Linked DNA regions of Drosophila melanogaster. The protein of the gene in region 1 interacts with the protein of each later gene in a pairwise test. Each region holds a gene or a part of one and is shown in the gene's direction. Other genes may lie near its edges.

Region 1 (8,126 bases):
GCTAATAGTTCCTGTCAACGAGTAATCAAGCATATACATATATCCCAAACTAATGCAAACATAACCCTCGAAATCTGAGAATCCGAATCTGAACAATACAGCTGGCACAAAAAGTGAGGCAGCGGTGGGGGAAAAAGTTGTCCGTCATTCTTGGGGGAATATTTTAGCATCTTGATGAGGCCGAAATGAGATGGAAAGTTTGTCATAAACGGTAGTCAAAACACGAACAAATACTATCGTGTTATACGTAAATAACTGCTTTGTATATATAAGGCTGATATTGCCATTTCAAGGCATCCAAATGTATAATTTGACTTGGAATATGTTTATTGTCTGGCAACACGAGATATGGCAAACAAAACTTGTACCATTCCATCGTTAAGTAGATTCTAAACGGTTGTTAAAATAAAATCCGAGGTGAGATACTGGAGCTGTTACTACATCGTAATGATTCTTTCAAGTGCATCATAACAATAATCTCCTTTGGATGTACAATAATGTGGCTTCTGAACAATGTTCCCACCTTGAAGAAAATTATAGCCGAAGTCTGCAGTAAAATGCCATATTTTCAATGCCACACCTATGGGTTCGATAAATGACCATTAAAAGATTTTATTGCCAATTAATTATAGTCACTTGACTAATTCGCCTTTCGAGTGTTTCTGGCTGCTGAGATTTGATAACCGTGCGTCCACACCCCGTGTGTGATAACGTCAAGAGCTAAATAAATAAACCGATAAACAAACACTCGAAATCAAGTGGAATTTCCCAGCCTATGCGGCCAGTGTAATCTAGGATTTCAATCCACCCTTGGAAAATCACTCGAGAATCACTGTGCATATTACTACATCCATGAATGCCTATGCTATGAAACCTGTCGCCTGTGAAACAAGTTTCATGTGTGTTCACTGTCGTTCCCGGTGGCCAGAAATTCAGGTGAGCAAGAGTGTTCCACTTAGATGCTCAGAATCTACAATCACCTGCAGCAGGGCTAGATCAAATGTTGAGCTAGGTTGGCTCAAGAACCAGGAACTGTGCTAATGCTAATTAATAATTAACATAATTACACACAGATTGTGCTATGTCGTCAGACAAAATGCATTGCGAATGAGCTGAGGCGAGGCAAAAAAATAAAAAACACCTAATATCAACATCAATATTTATGGCAAGATTTGTGTGCAGAGAAAAAAATGCAGACCATTTAATATCTAATATTTATAATAACTAGTACATGTTTATTCATTAGGCTACACTCAGCTAAAGTTCTATCTTCATGCAAAAGTATCTTAGAATACTCATATAAATTCACAGAAAATAATAAAAAAAAAAATATTATTATTAAAAGTAACATAGTGGAAAAATTTAAGGATATTTGTTTATTAATATAATAAGTCTTAGAAACAATTGAAAGATATATATATCTTGGTGCATTTTGATAACTTGCCATGGAATAGTACTTATCTTTTCTCTCTGTGTGGCCACTGCTCCTAAGACAAAGAAAGGAAAGGCTCGACCGGACCCGATGCGATAAGACGCCGATCGGAGGGAGAGTGAATATGGCCCGCGATATGGAGGCCCGATCCCATGAAGAGTACTCTGGGATGCGAGAGAGAGAGGCAGAGCTATGGTAGACCGAGCTGCCGTCACATATGCCGTATAAATTGCTGCGTCCAGAGGTCCACCATTCAGTCGCAGAGCGAACCAGAGCAGACCAAGATCATCTCGAGCAGTTGTCCGAAGGCGATTTGGCCATCCAAAAATAGACCAAAGTCATCGAAAGTTGAGGCACCGCAAACAAAAAGTTCTGCAAAAAATAGAACATAAATTTTCCATTTCGTGCGTATCGATTCGAGGGACATAATTCGGAACTGCGCAGTTTGCCGGGAAATTGCGAGGAAAACTCTTCTTTCATGTCTTGCCAAAATCTTCGCAGCGTTCAGGCCAAAGGAGTAAACAGCTGCCGCGCTCGACAAGCGGCAATGTCAGCAGTTTAATAAGAAAGTAAAAATCATACAACCAAACGAATAACAAATCCATCGGGCAACGAGCAGATATAAAGTAGATATATCATTAAAATTGATAATAATAATAATTCGCCAAAGTGCAAGTGAATCGAGAGCGACAGAGAAGAGTGCGGAACAACTTTCCGCAGGAAAACAAAAACAGGAGGACCGAGACTGGGGTGCAAAAATTGATTTCGTTAGCCTTTTGCCAACACCAATTGCATGGGTAAAGTTATGAGAGTGAATTCATTATCGCCGCCCGCCCACAACTGCCACGCCCACGCTCGCTCCAAGCAACAAAAGCAGAAACAATTGAAATTAAAGAAAATCGAAATATATTTTATGTTCAGCAATTTGTGCAAGCGAAAAACTTTAACGGAGTATAATTTATTGACACTAAAACAAAGTCGGGATAGTGAGTGAAGCAAAGCGCTTAAACAGTGACAGTGATCGTTAAAACTTTAATCAACATAAAACATAAGAAGAAAAATTAGTCACATTTCGTAGCAAAAATAAATAGTTAGAGGAACGATTGCGTGAGGAGCGTGGGCTGTCAGCAGATCAAGGATTGCCACACATACAGGTGAGTTTGAGCCATTGCAGTGGATTATTTATTATAGCTAATAGTAATTATATAACTTTATTTGACTTTTATGGTCCTGTGCTTTGTGTTAGAGCTACTAAAAACTAGGTTGAAAACTAGAACTCTACAAGTGATACTTTTTATGCAAGTAAGTCCTTCTTTTATAAATACGAGCCACTTAAAATTCCAGTTTAACTTATAGTACTTGCAATTAATAATCAAATTACCCGAGTGTATCGAATTTCCTAAATACCTTATAATCGAATATAAGACGTCAATAATTAAATAGCCATATCCACAATTTCCACGAAATAAAATAAATTTCGTTAGAATTTTCTCCCATAATTAAGGGAGCCATAATAAAATAATAACACGGTTCATGCCTGTTCACAATAAGAGGATCAATTACGCCTCAATTGTTGGTTAAATAAACTGCCTATGTGCTGAAAGCAACCAATCTACACCTATATGTATATGTATATGCATATTTGTATGTATATCAACAGCACAGCCGGGTTCACACCCCCACAATAAAGTAATATGCATTTTAAGCAGCAGCAGTTTAATAATAATCATGTTAATTACAAAACGGTTTAATCGCCATGGAACCAGCTACGAGAGCAGCAACAATGGAATTCATCCGATTATTTCGCCGAAGACGTGTGAATTTAACATTGTGATATTTTGCTAACGGATTCAGCTATCTGAATGTTAACTATTTCCTCAATAACTCCCCGATATGACCTTGACCCCTTTATATGAAATGTTTTCGAATGATTCACTCAGGCCCCCGAAGAGTTGTCAACTGCGGAATGCTTATCAGGTGACTTCCTAATCGTAACAGGCAATTAAAGCCACCGGCTACTTAATTAATGCCCCAAGCTCATCATTTTGTTGCTATTTTGTTTATTTAAACATTTATTGACCTAGTCTGCGGCGATTTAATTACCAGCCGCCGTTCGTTCGTTTATTTTTTTTTTCCGAGAATATTTATACATATTTAAGTGCAAAAAGCGTCGGTCATCTAACCGTTGGCCCATTGGGGGGATTGGATTTGAAATTCCAGGAGAAAATAAGAGTAGTACAGTACTGTATCTACTACACCCACATGACCTGCAACTTGTCTCAATTACCACGAAAGTGTGACAATGTGAATGACACTCGAGCCGGCGGCGTACAAATTAGATGTTTTGTATTTTAAATTTATTCGAGCTTTTATTATGATTTTATTATTCTTGTTGTTAGTGCTCACGTATGGAGCAGATAGGTTTTGGTCAATGGCTCAGAGGCAACGCTCGCCAGCCAGACTATGTGATTAAAGATAGAGAAACGCGGAGACTCGCAGATTCGAAGACCCAGACTCAGTTGCGATTTGGACACGCGACGTTTTGGTTGTAGAAAAGTTTTTGGTGCCGCCTCGCCAATAGCCGTTTAAAGATCAACCGCAAAGATACAATTGAACCCAATATAAACCGCTGATACGTCAATTTGCAAAAGTGTTCGCCTGCAATAGTTCGAAAATGTGGCTAATTGTCAAGTTTAAGCAAAAGAGAAACTGAGTGAAAGATATTTGCAAAGTGTGATAATAGCTGAAATACTAAAAACCAAGAAGAGTGATCAAATTAGTTCAAATACAAAATAGTGATATTAGACAATTAGGAAATTAAGTAAGTTTATCGATGCTTTCCGATCAAAATGTGATAAACAACTATATTCCACAAAAATTTGATACTAACCCACATAGTAACAAAGCGCAGAAAGGGTCTTTTATTTGTGTATTCCGATTACACGACTAGGTTTGTGAACCCATTTCGGGGCTTACACTCGACTTCGATTTCGATTCCGCTAACCAGATAAGCCTTCGAGTGACAATTCACTCTCGTTTGTCTTTCGCTGTGATTGAATTTGTTTGTAAACAAATAGCCATCGTTCAGGGTTCGCACTCTATAGGCAGTGACACAAATTGCGAGCCGCAGTGCAATTGAATTGGAATTGAAATTCATATTCATTTTCATTTTCATATTTATATATTTCGCCACTGCCGCGTGGCCGCGCAGCTCAATTAATCAGAGATCTTTGACGCTTCTTCGACGTGCCGCACCAGATCCAGATGTTTCCACATTAATGGGTTCAATATCTCTGTTCTCGGGGTGCGATGGCAAACAGCACGATCGTCGTTTGGTAATTAAAGATTGAGATAGCGAAATTAATCCCAGATGTGACCCAATCGATTAATGTGTGGCTGCACCCCAGCAGTGGAAAAGTTTAGCAAAGTCGGCAACATCATACGAACTTTTTGAATCAAAATTGAGAAGATTTTATTTCCATAATATTACGGATGAATCCCGGCTTTGATTCATAATTTTTGATTATGCTTCTTTCTGTAATTTTTATTATAACTTAACCTAATGTAACATCTTCTTATATTTTACTTATATTTCTCCCTTTTACAGTCAGTAAGACCGGATCAAAATGGTTGGAGTTACTGCCGACGCCTCGCAGGCGAATCAGCTGTCCTCGGTCCGGAACCCGATGATCAAGTACATGCTGAAAACACGGGAGAATCATGCTCGGGAACAGGATCGCGACTACTCGCATGTCTTCCGCCGGAAGACGCGGTTCGAGATGTTTCGATTGTCCGCCATCGCCATGGCCATTGAATTTGCCTATGCGGCGGAGACGAGTTTCGTCTCTCCGATTCTCCTACAGATCGGTGTGGATCACAAACACATGTCCATGACCTGGGGACTGTCGCCACTGATTGGATTCTTTATGTCCCCGCTGCTGGGAAGTATTAGCGATCGCTGCAAGCTTCGTTGGGGTCGCCGACGTCCAATTATCTCGATTCTATCATTTGGCATAATGTGCGGTTTGATTCTGGTGCCATATGGCAAGGATCTGGGTCTGCTGCTTGGCGATGCCGGATATACTTATGCAGAGTCAGCCTTGAATTTCACATCTTCGTCGGGGGGATCTGTGGCTGCTTTGGTTTCGGGTGAAGCGACGACAGGACCTTCTGCATCCGACTATAAGTTCGCCGTGATCCTTACGATTTTGGGCATGGTCCTATTGGATTTCGATGCGGATACCTGCCAGACACCGGCTCGCACTTATTTACTGGATATGTGTGTGCCAGAGGAGCAGCCGAAAGCCATGACCATGTTTGCGCTCTTCGCGGGATTCGGCGGCACGATTGGATATGCCATTGGAGGAGTGGATTGGGAGACAACGCATATTGGCAGCTTCATGGGTGGCAATATACCCACTGTATTCACCCTGGTCACCATCATATTCGCGGTGTGCTATCTTATCACGGTGACCACATTCCGTGAAATTCCATTGCCCTTGATCGAGCAGGATGAGCTGCTGAGACCGCTGTCCGAACAGGCCATCAAGAAGGAGTTGAAAAAGAAGAACAATACCATTTACTATATCCAGGAGACCACACAGCTGGAGCTTCAGATGGCCAGTGATGATCCCAAGCGATTGGAGGCACTGCAAGGCAGCTATCAGAATGGCTATTCACCCGCTGTGGAGAAGCAAGGGAAATCCCAGGATTTGGAGACCCAGTCGGATTACGATGCTCCCGTCTCCCTTAAGGCCTATCTCAAGAGCATCTTCATCATGCCCTACTCGATGCGCATGCTGGCCCTCACCAATCTCTTCTGCTGGATGGGCCACGTCACCTATTGCCTGTACTTCACGGACTTTGTGGGTGAGGCAGTTTTCCACGGTGATCCCACGGCTGCTCCCAACTCGGAAGCTGCTCTCAACTACGAGGCTGGAGTGCGATTTGGTTGCTGGGGAATGGCCATATACGCATTTTCCTGCTCCATTTACTCGCTGTCGGTGACCAAGTTAATGAAGTGGTTCGGGTAAGTCGGCACACTACTAAAAATGCCATCGGAATTTGTTTAAGTGTAAACATCATTTTTCTTGCTTTGGTCAACAAATAGATTATAAAGACAAATTCAGATCTTGGTATTAAACAAATGAGGTTTTTCATTGACTGTTGGCAAACAGTGTACGAACTTCTAGTTGCAAACTGTCAAGTTTACCTTTAAAATTCTTAAAGACAGTAGCTTTGATTAACCACCTGAGCTATAATATGTTGACGTCTGCTTCCAAATCGAATATCTAAAAGAAATCCAAATGTATTGAATATTATATGTTAACCGTGATTATCTCGCTCTTTTTTAGAACCAAGGCGGTTTACATTAGTGGAATGATTTACTATGGTATCGGAATGCTTGTCCTGGGCTTGTGGCCAACTAAGTGGGGAGTCTTGGTATTCAGCACGTCAGCTGGTATTCTGTATGGAACCATTTTCACGGTGCCTTTCATATTGGTGGCTAGATATCATGCCAAAAATTGTGTAAGTATACTTGTAAGACCTTTAAAATTCAACTTCTTAATCAAAATATGTTAATTTCAGTTCTCTATTAAGAATGGAGAGATAGTACCACTGAAACAGGCTCGTGGATTGGGCACTGATGTGGCCATTATCAGCAGTATGGTTTTTATTGCCCAGTTGATTGTATCCCTTTCCGTGGGTCCTTTGGTATCCTGGATGGACACAACTTGTGCCGTGCTCTACGCCTCGACGTTTCTGTCCTTTTTGGCGGCCATTGCAGCCATGTTTGTGTTATATGTCTAGGAATATAAGGATATAGCGAACAAGTGTCCAATATGAACACAAATGTTACATGATTTTACGTAGCGTAAATGTATCTAGTTGAGTATCTTTGCCTACTTTCTGGCAGTATCTGCGACTGCACTCACAATGTTGTGGCATACTTTAAGGATGAAGCGTATATTGTACTTGTATTCATTGAACATTTAATTTTTTTTTGTAAACTGCATGAATTATATGAATTTAAATTAGTGAAATACATTTATTTCTACCTTAAATGACCCCTTCTTGACTCAAGGAAATTTATATCTTTCAGCAAAACAATGAGCTTGAGGGCGGATATTAGTTTTTACGCTCGTGCGTGGCATTCAAATGCAATTTTTAATTTCCTCAAGTGCACTTTTTTTCCCAGATGCTGCCAATTTCCTTAGCAGCTGCACATGCCACGCCCCTCACCACCCCGCCCTGTCCGGGGCTTTCTTGTAAGTGTCAGAGACACATTTCCGTTGTCGCCTGAGTGATAAATAGCATTTAATAATTTTCCGTGCGCACATTTCAGGTTCTCCACTACGAATAAAGCAATTAAATTCTCCTTTCTTGGCGGTGCATGCTTCGTATTCCAAATCGAGTTGAAGGTGGTCGAAAAGGCTATGAATGCATAAACAATAATTGTGGAATAAGAAAAAAGGTATATGGCTCATTGAGTGACGAGAGCATAAGTTGTGGGGCGGGTCGTAAAGGCAGGTGTCTTAATAAAACTAAAGGAAATACGGCAATGCTCACATGCAGAAACAATCGCAATAGAAAAGACATGAACAGAGCAAATGAGCGACAAAAAGTGAAGTTCTCGTCAAATTGAAAATAAACTCTTTACGACAAGTTGAGAACGGCACTAGCACTAGCGTAT
Region 2 (4,272 bases), on another chromosome or scaffold:
ACATGTCCCCAGTTGCCATTTACAGAGCGACACACCCATCGAAACGAAGTGGAGTGCTGTGGGAAATTGCCGCCACAATGCAGACATTTCAATTAGCATTTGGCTAAACATAAGGCAAACAATCTGGCCAATTTCCAGTCAATGAAGCCAATAAAATGGAACAAACCGATGGCAGCATAAATACTTGTTAGTTGCTCATACTCACTCTCTTCACTCCCAATGCTTTCTGGCCAACGGAAAAACTTGGCTAGGTAACTACTTCTGGCCTTTTTGGTGTCATAAGGAAGCGTCCAAATGATTCATAATTTATGCCTACCCGTCGTTTTCCATGGCCATTCCCCCCATTCCCCATTCTCGTGACCATTCCTATTCCCAATCCTATTCGCTGCTTTCGTTACTTAATTTCACCAACTTAACGCGTTGGCTTGTGCCCGTTGGCCCGGCTTTTCCATTCCCCCAATCACCTGTAATTGTAATCCATTTCGGGCTTGCACAGGAAAAAAAGGAATTACTTGGTTTAAGAAAATGTGCATAATGAATGAAAAACGATTGCCATTTGAATGGGATCTCAACTATATACCATTTTTATCATTCAAAGATTTAAATGAGTACTTTCTTAAATACTTTTCCTTCGACCAACTATTTTTTCTCTCTCTGTAAAAGTGCGTGGCCGTCGACGCAGTGGCTGTCGCTTGTCTGGTGCGATGATAGTTGAAAAAATTACTTACAAATTACATGCGTAGCTTAAGCCTCCCATCGCCCCGCTGCTGCCTTCAGCTGGCTTAATGTGCAGGAAAATGCAGGAAAAGTCGGGGCGGGGCAATGTGGGCTGTGGGGTATTAGTGCTGTGGGTCTCGTGGCCCGATCGTAAATTGCATTTTCCAATTGAATTCCGAGTTCTGTGCACTGTCAGGCGGACGAGGTCGTCGGAACAGCCGCGGAATACCCTAGAATAAAAATGATTGCTCAGCAGTGAAACAACCATTTCCCAGAACTTTGGCCTGGTTAATTTCCCATCGTTAGGGGCAAAGTGACGGGCTCATTAGCATATAAATATTGTTGTAATTACGCCTGGTAAATAATGCAATTTTGCCATTTTATAGACCCTGCTTGTGCTAAATTAAAATTATTATAATTGAGTTAAGCGAATGGAGTGGTGGGTAGGTAGGCGAGTGGTAGGGCTTAGTGGAATTTCGCATGGCTTAAAATGCAGCACGGAACATGGCCATAAAGTGTAGCTGCGTTTAGCTTAAACAAGTCGACAATTTAAAAAGCCAATTTGCGCATAATACGGCGAACGTGAGCGAAAATTCAAAACAGAACTGCACACGCACTCGCAAAGGTGCAGAATGAATAAGTTTTCAAATCCAAGTGCAGGTAGCGTGTTGTGCAAATTTCTACGCAAATGACCATTAATGCAAATGCTGTTTGCTCATTAAAGAAACATTGCCCGCCCACCAAAAGTGACCCAAATTCATTTGCCATTCGGAATGGGGGGTTTGTTTTGAATGTAATCATGATCAAAGTGAGAATATATTTTTATTATATTTATTCGTTTTTTATTTTCATTATTAAGGCCTATCAATTAGCTTGTTTTGTGGCATAAATGTCGACTATTTAAAACGATTTTTTATACAATCTTAAAATGCATTTCCAAAATATATCAACAGTTCCTTTTAAGACCAACAAATTTTCCATTGTTTTTTTTAAATAAGAAAATCTAATGCTATGAATGCATGAGTTTGCTTATATACACATTAAAAATATATAAAAAATCATAAAAATAAATCAAATATTTGAAAACTCTAGCGTTAGTCAATACTGCCACGAACTTTCGTGCACAGCCTGATCTGCGCTGATCTGGCATCACTGTGCTATTTCCATGAAAGCGATATTCTTCTTCTTCGAGAACTTTAAAAAGTATCACTTGGTAAAAACCATTTTAATCCAAAAATTAGCCAAGTCGAGTGAAAAAGATGGGACGTCGCCGAGCCAAGATGCCTAATTTCACCATTGGCGACTTTGTGTTCGCCAAGTTGCGCCGCTATCGCCCCTGGCCAGGCCGCATCCTCAACCGCATCGGTGCCACGGCATATAGTGTTTACTTCTATGGAAGCTGCAACTACGCCAAAGTGGCTCGCAAAGAGGTCGTCGACTACGAGAAGAATCTGCATCGACTTGGAGTGGTCCAGCAAAAGGGACACGTCTGCAATCCAAGTTTCCGGGCCTCCATGCTACAGGCACGCGAGGCATTCGACAATCCGGATAAAGATTATGGCTACTACCAGCAGTTGGCTGTGAACAACGGCGATTGCATTAACGCCGAGGACCTGGGACTGGAGTACCTGGTTACCGAAGATCTGGGCAACCTACTGGACGAGCAGGCTGCCACGGAACAGGTGGTGGCGGAGAAGGATGTCAACGAACAGGTAGCGGTGGAGCAGAATGTGGAGCTAAATTCACTGGGGCAGATCTTTAGCAACCAGGAGCATGAGAAGGATTCAGAGGATTCTGCCTCGAATTGTCAGCTAGAGGAGAAGGATCAATCAAATTCGGAGGTGGTGAAGGAGCAGGTCTCCGAACGGCATTACTCGATGGCTCAGATAGTTTCTCTGAAATCGAAGAAACTGATGGATACTCCAATTAACATGACATGCCAACGGCGACGCTAGTCAAAAAAAAAATCAGGAGCTGGATTCTACAAACTATGACGAAATGATTTGTTTGCACACACAAAATGTAGCACTTTTTTGTATTAAGTACTTACGCGTATTTTCATTCCTTGACATGCAAACAAAATCGTAATTTGAATAAAATGTCAATCAAAATGTACTTAAACTTAACAGAACTAAACTCATTATATTGTTACCAATCAACATTATACCTTATTATAAACATTGACTTGTATTCCTTAAAGTAGATGAGTCAAATCAAAGTAATGAAAATTTAAGAACTCCCTTTTTAGGACACAACATGATTTGACTCAACCAAAACGGATTTCGGGAATTGGCGGGCCATTAAGAAGACGTGGGCGTGCCTCTGGCCATAATGGCTGTTGCGTGATCCTCCACTGCTGACCTCCACACATCATCCAGTCAGGCTGGGCGCTAATCGAAGCTCGACTTTGGGCGCACGTTTCCGCATTAAATGCTGCACCATCAGCATGGTCAGGTCACCACCCATCAGCCATCATGGCAGCCACCCCCGGGATGAGTCTCCCCAGAGGCGTTTGCTGGATAGTTTAGCTAAATGCCGTCGTAAAAGAACGCCGGCCATTAAACCAACAAGCCGCGCAGCAGAATCAACATCGAAGATTCCCACCCTACTTTCGGCTGATTTAATTGGACAATGCTGCAACTGGAGGAGGAGGAGCAGGAAGAGCACGCGGAGGATTACAAGAACTTTCTGGACGAAGTGCAAGCTGCGATGAGGATGCTTCGATTAACAAATTATCGCCACCGCAGCAAATTAATCGCAGCAGCAGCAGCAGCCTGGCATCTGTAGAACCAAGCACGGGAATCCGAATCTGGGTTAACGAGAGGACGACCGATGACCGCAAATCAGATTCACTAAGCCGGCAATGAGATTTCCCGACCGCATCAATTTGTTTTAATGCCAGAGATGCATTTGCGCCGCTCCAACAGATTGCACCAGCTGGCAGAGCGAAACGCCAGGAGCTGCATCCGAAGCGGGAGGTGCACTAAGGAAAATCAGTAGGTGGGTTCATTTATATATATATTTTATTCATATTTACAGCATCATCGTTCGTATGTGTATAGCCATGAAAGCGAATCCTTCAGCAATCCTTGCCACAGTTGTGTGCTTCCTTCGTAGACCGTGTTCTCAGTGTATCTCATACTTTTCCGAGTGACCGAGATGCTGCTGCAAGATCCCTTGGTGGCTCCAGCATCTTTGGTCATCTCGACAGCTGTCTGCTGGTGGATTTAACGTTGTCCTGCGTTGCTCTGCGGTCTGGACCAGATTGTTAAGTAGTTCGCCGTGCGATATGCATATGGATGGATATATGGGATGGGTTACTCGATGGCCTGAACATACCTCATTCCCGTCGACGATCCCCGTCCTGGGCCGTAAAATGTCAAATTAATGTTACAACATGTCCAGCGATTTCTGATGGCATTTGACAATGTCGAGTGGAAATTCCTGCAGGTGACGCAATTTCCCTGTAATTTGTTTGGCCGCACGTACCGTCGCCACGACATGGGGCATTGTCAGCTCGTTTGTGCCTGCCCAGCATAAACAAAACATCCAACC
Region 3 (4,582 bases), on another chromosome or scaffold:
TGCACCCAGCTGCGACTGACAGTTGCTGATGGTCTCGTCTTGATCCACCACAATGAGCTCCTCATCGTCGGCGGTCACAGGCAGCTGCGGCCGCGGCTGGTATCCGGCGCTGGTGGATAGCTGCAAGATGTCGCCACCCCTTACGCCATTTTTTCGACCCGTCTCCTTCAGATACTCCGCATCGAAGCAGTCCTCGCAGTCGTATTGGTCCTGCACCGCCTGCTGTGTGAAAACCGCTTTCGTTCGGCCCGTGATGTTCAACAGCTCCGTGTGGAAGAGGGCCAGTGGCGCCATTAGGGCCTCATCGCCCACCTGTATGGTGTAGCGCAGCCACTGGCCGTTATGTTTGCGCAGGTTGAAGTGCTTCTCCTGGGCGCCACAAACGCTGGCGTTCAGGTGGCAAAACTTTTCCTTCAGCTCGTCCAGCAGATGGGCATCCACATAGCTCTCCTGCACATTGCACTCGCGATAGGGAAAGCCGCACTTTCGCAGCAGCAGGAGTAGCACCTGATCCAGGTCGCCGCCGCCATAGGACAGCCGCACCCTGGCATCCAGCTGCGAAATTCCGTCCTCGATGCAGGCTATGGAGGTCTTTTGGGCGCCAATGTCCACCACACAGCCGTACCCAATGCCGGCGCCAAAGGTGGAGGCGACGCTGTCCTGGACGAGGAAGCAGCGCCGAAAGCCCAAACGCCTCAGCAGCAGGGTCACGAACTCGCGCAGATGCCGCCGCACATAGACATCGTTGACCACCAAGACGGCGCAGTGGGTGCCCAGTTTACGCAGCGGGATCTTCAGACGCTCTTCCAGGGCGTACGACCAGATTCGTTCCAAGTGCTGCATGCTGGCCTGAAAAAAAAAAAACAGCTTCATCAGTTTAGTTTGGAAACTACGAGGAACAACGCAGCACACACTTGTAGCGAGCCGCCCTTCTCGTTGTGCACATTCAGCTCGCCCCTTTGAATGGGAAAATGGATGTCGTAGTTGCGGGCATCCACAGCACCGAGTCGCAGGATACGGTCGTCGAACAGCACGGGTGCCTCGCGATCCAGCCAGGGCTCGTCCGCCATCTGGCCACTGGGCGCCGGCACCTTCTCCGCCTGACTGCTCCGGTTGAAGTGGGCCAGTTGCTGCGGCGGAGTGGCCACCCGCAACCGGTTTTTGTTATCGACGACGCAGTGCTGCAGAATGCGCGACACCACCAGGCGCTGCTCCTCGAACTCCACCATCAGGCCGGAGTTTGAGTTGACGTTGTCCAGCGGCGGCAGCAGCGGATCATGATGCGGCCTATCGCTGGCCCCCGGACGCCTCCTGTAGGCCACCGCGTGCAGCAGGGTCAGCGGATTAAGGTCGGCCGCCCTGCCGATCCTCAAGTGCTGCGATCCAGGATGGATGACGATAATCTTTGGCGCCTCCAGTGGCTGCGCCTGCGGCTGGGGCAGCCCAATTGGCGGCGGCGCCGGATGCCGGCCACTGCTGGTGCTGCTGGCTCGGGATCGTCTGGACGAAGGGAGAGTAGCCAAGTTGCAAAATTAGTTGCTTCACATACCACTTACTTATTCACTTACTGCATCGTTTGCTTTCCGAAATCCGGATCCTTTGAAAATGCGGAAATCGGAGGCAACAACAAATGGCAACAAAGCCAATGTGACCGTGGTGCGCAAATGAGAACATTTATAAAACAGGAACACAGGAAAAACAGAAAGTTAAAGTAATAAAAAAATAGGGCTGATTTACAAAACTCATTTTTCATTAATTACTATTAATTCATTGTTGAAATTCAAAGCACTCATATATATAACATATAACAAATTCTTTGTTTAGTATATTGTGTGTGGATGGTGCCGACGTGAGTGCCGTCTGGTCACACTGTCAAGAACGTGGTTTTGTTTTTTAATCATCACCATTAAATTGAGCAGCCTTACTTTCCATTGTGAAATACGCCATTCCAGAGTGCCAACGAAAACGAGAGTGCCAGTCAAGCGATCATCGAATCCACTCAGCGCCACAATGTCGCACTTCACCTGCCTGAACTGCGATGCCCGCTTCGCCAGCGCGGATGTGCAGCGGAATCACTACAAGACCGACTGGCATCGCTACAATCTGAAGCGCAGGGTGGCCCAGCTGCCGCCCGTTACGGCCGAGGAGTTCCAGCAGCGCGTTCTTAGCGCCCGCAGCGCCACGGACGCGGCACTCGAGGAGCAGAACCTAAGTGTCTACTGCCACGCCTGCAGACGCCAATTCGCCAGCCAGAAGGCGCACGACAACCACCTGAACAGCCGCAAGCACAAGGAGCTGCTGGCCCGCTTCGAGCGCGAGCAGATGACAGCTAGCGGCGGCAGCGCCAGCACCGCCACATCCGTGTGCACGCGCAGCGTCGTGGAGCAGCGGCCCCATCCGGCCCTGGCCGCCGCAGCCGCTGGCAAGGGTCGACTGGCCTTCGCGGAGCGGGTGGTCAAGGCCAATAACGACGAGGAGATGGTCGACGAGGACGACGATGATTTCGAGGACATTGAAGAGGAGGAGGTAGGAAGCGCTATGCAGATAGAGCTCGCATTAGACTTTTCCTTGCTCATAGAAGGGTTACCTTGAGAATGATTTCCTTGGAGATTCTATGCCTGGTTAAGATATGCACCTTTACAACGTATACAGCTTCTTATAAAGAACAACTTGATTTTTTGCAGGTGGATTCCGATGAGTGGGACAAGATACCCGAGAATCCGCTGACCGAGCGCGACTGCCTGTTCTGCACACATGCCAGCGAGGATCTGGTGGAGAACCTAAAGCACATGTCCGTGGCGCACTCGTTCTTCATTCCGGACACCGAGTACTGCACGGACATCGAGGGCCTTCTGTACTACCTGGGCGAGAAGGTGGCCAACTACTTCATCTGCCTGTTCTGCAACGATCGCGGCAAGACCTTCTATTCCCTGGACGCCGTGCGCAAACACATGATCGACAAGGGCCACTGCCAGATGCTGCACGAGGGTGTGGCGCTGGCCGAGTATGCCGAATACTACGACTACAGCAGCAGTTATCCGGACAATGTGAGTATCACATAGCACAAGCAAACCTCCATTTATGCTGACTGAATCTTGGAAAACCTTTTAACCCGCACAGAATGAGGGCATGGACATTGACGAAGAGGTGGTGCCGGATCTGCTCGATGGCGATGAGTATCAGCTGGTGCTGCCCTCAGGCGCGGTCATTGGTCATCGCTCCCTGCTTCGCTACTACAAGCAGCGTCTTCGTCCGGAACGCGCCGTCGTCATCAAGAAGTCCGACCGCAAACTGCACCGCGTGCTCAGCGAGTACCGGGCTCTGGGCTGGACGCAAACGCAGCAGCTGTCCGCCGCCCGCAAGGCACGCGACATTCATCTGATGAAGCGCGTCCAGTCCAAGTGGCAGATGAAGCTCGGCTGCAAGGCCAATAAGCTGCAGAAGCACTATCGTGCACAGGTTCTGATCTAATCATCGCTTGCTTTTCTTTCCAAATGCTATTGGCCTCCCCCCTACTTGTACAATAAAAAGTTTTTGAGTTTTGCTTAAATTAAGCATATTTGTTTGCTTTCTATATTACTAGCGATTTCTCGTCGAATAAAATTACATAATTTAAATTAACAATTAAATAAAGTTTAATTTTGATTCGTTTATATAAAGTAAAAGTATGTCGTTACGGTTACTGCATAAAGTTAAACATTATAATTAGACCAAAAAAAAAAATAGGTTCTAGCGTGTAAAAAAATAAACTCTGCCGAATCCATCAAGGCGCCCACACGGCATCCCCTCCCCGATCCCGGGCGACTGGGGGCGTGGCCGGTGCTGTGGGCGCGGCGGTGAGAGCTCGAAGTGACTAATCAGTAAGAACCGCAGGTGAGTGAGTTTTCGTGTGTTTCGTGGGACCTGAGGGTCAATTTCAGCTAGTTAATGTTAATGTATTTTTATTTTGGACATGTGTCTGTGTTGCAGTGATCTTCATCGGGCGTCTTGTCTTACAATGAACCAAGAATCTCAGCTTCTTTTCAGGAAAAGCTGAAAGTGTGACTATTACCACTCAAACAAAACAAAATGATCTTCGCTATTTATCCAATTGAAGTCACGTTGTCACAATCGCTAATTAAAAGAATTTTCATTTAAAATTGTCTACATAGAACAGAAATTTTCTTCACTTAAGATCTTACAAAAGCGCAGATGAAAATATTAACAATTATTCGTCAAAATTAGTAGTATATGTACATCGAAGTACATCGTACATGGTATGTAAAATTGGAAAAACGTGTGGACAAGACCCCCGATTACCGACCAACTATGGTGCTGCTGCGTTGGTGAATTTGTGGTTCCTTGGTTTGTGGGCGGGTGGAGGCGTTGGTTGGCGGTGCAATAAATAGCAGCAGAGAGCGGCAAAGGGCGTGAAAAGTAGTGTTTTAAGCGAGCATCCAACGTTCTTTGCTTGCTTCCAGTTTATGCTAATGTATAACTACAGGATTCTGTTGAACACAAACGCCCACCATGGGTGACGACGAGGAGGCATCGCTGCTGCTGGCTCCGGTGGCCGAGCCGCTGCTGCCACTGCCGACACTTT

The links.
Region 2: the proteins of Slc45-1 (region 1) and CG9926 interact in a two-hybrid assay, tested with the Drosophila melanogaster proteins (one large-scale study listed by BioGRID).
Region 3: the proteins of Slc45-1 (region 1) and CG6769 interact in a two-hybrid assay, tested with the Drosophila melanogaster proteins (one large-scale study listed by BioGRID).

What each region holds. Positions count from the first base shown.
Region 1 is NT_037436.4:9,202,433-9,210,558, reverse strand, and holds Slc45-1 (solute carrier family 45 member 1), read left to right. Parts: upstream 1-1,705; 5' UTR 1,706-2,586; intron 2,587-2,678; exon of another isoform or gene 2,679-2,734; intron 2,735-3,945; exon of another isoform or gene 3,946-4,253; intron 4,254-5,039; 5' UTR 5,040-5,058; coding exon 5,059-6,461; intron 6,462-6,786; coding exon 6,787-6,961; intron 6,962-7,021; coding exon 7,022-7,243; 3' UTR 7,244-7,494; downstream 7,495-8,126.
Region 2 is NT_033777.3:13,948,783-13,953,054, reverse strand, and holds CG9926 (uncharacterized protein), read left to right. Parts: upstream 1-1,916; 5' UTR 1,917-1,976; coding exon 1,977-2,672; 3' UTR 2,673-3,601; downstream 3,602-4,272. Other genes in the region: CG31517 (uncharacterized protein), read right to left, coding at 3,945-3,972, 4,057-4,220.
Region 3 is NC_004354.4:17,859,154-17,863,735, forward strand, and holds CG6769 (uncharacterized protein), read left to right. Parts: upstream 1-1,848; 5' UTR 1,849-2,010; coding exon 2,011-2,526; intron 2,527-2,684; coding exon 2,685-3,047; intron 3,048-3,120; coding exon 3,121-3,471; 3' UTR 3,472-3,622; downstream 3,623-4,582. Other genes in the region: Arp8 (Actin-related protein 8), read right to left, coding at 1-849, 915-1,500, 1,569-1,573; mnb (minibrain), read right to left, coding at 4,467-4,582.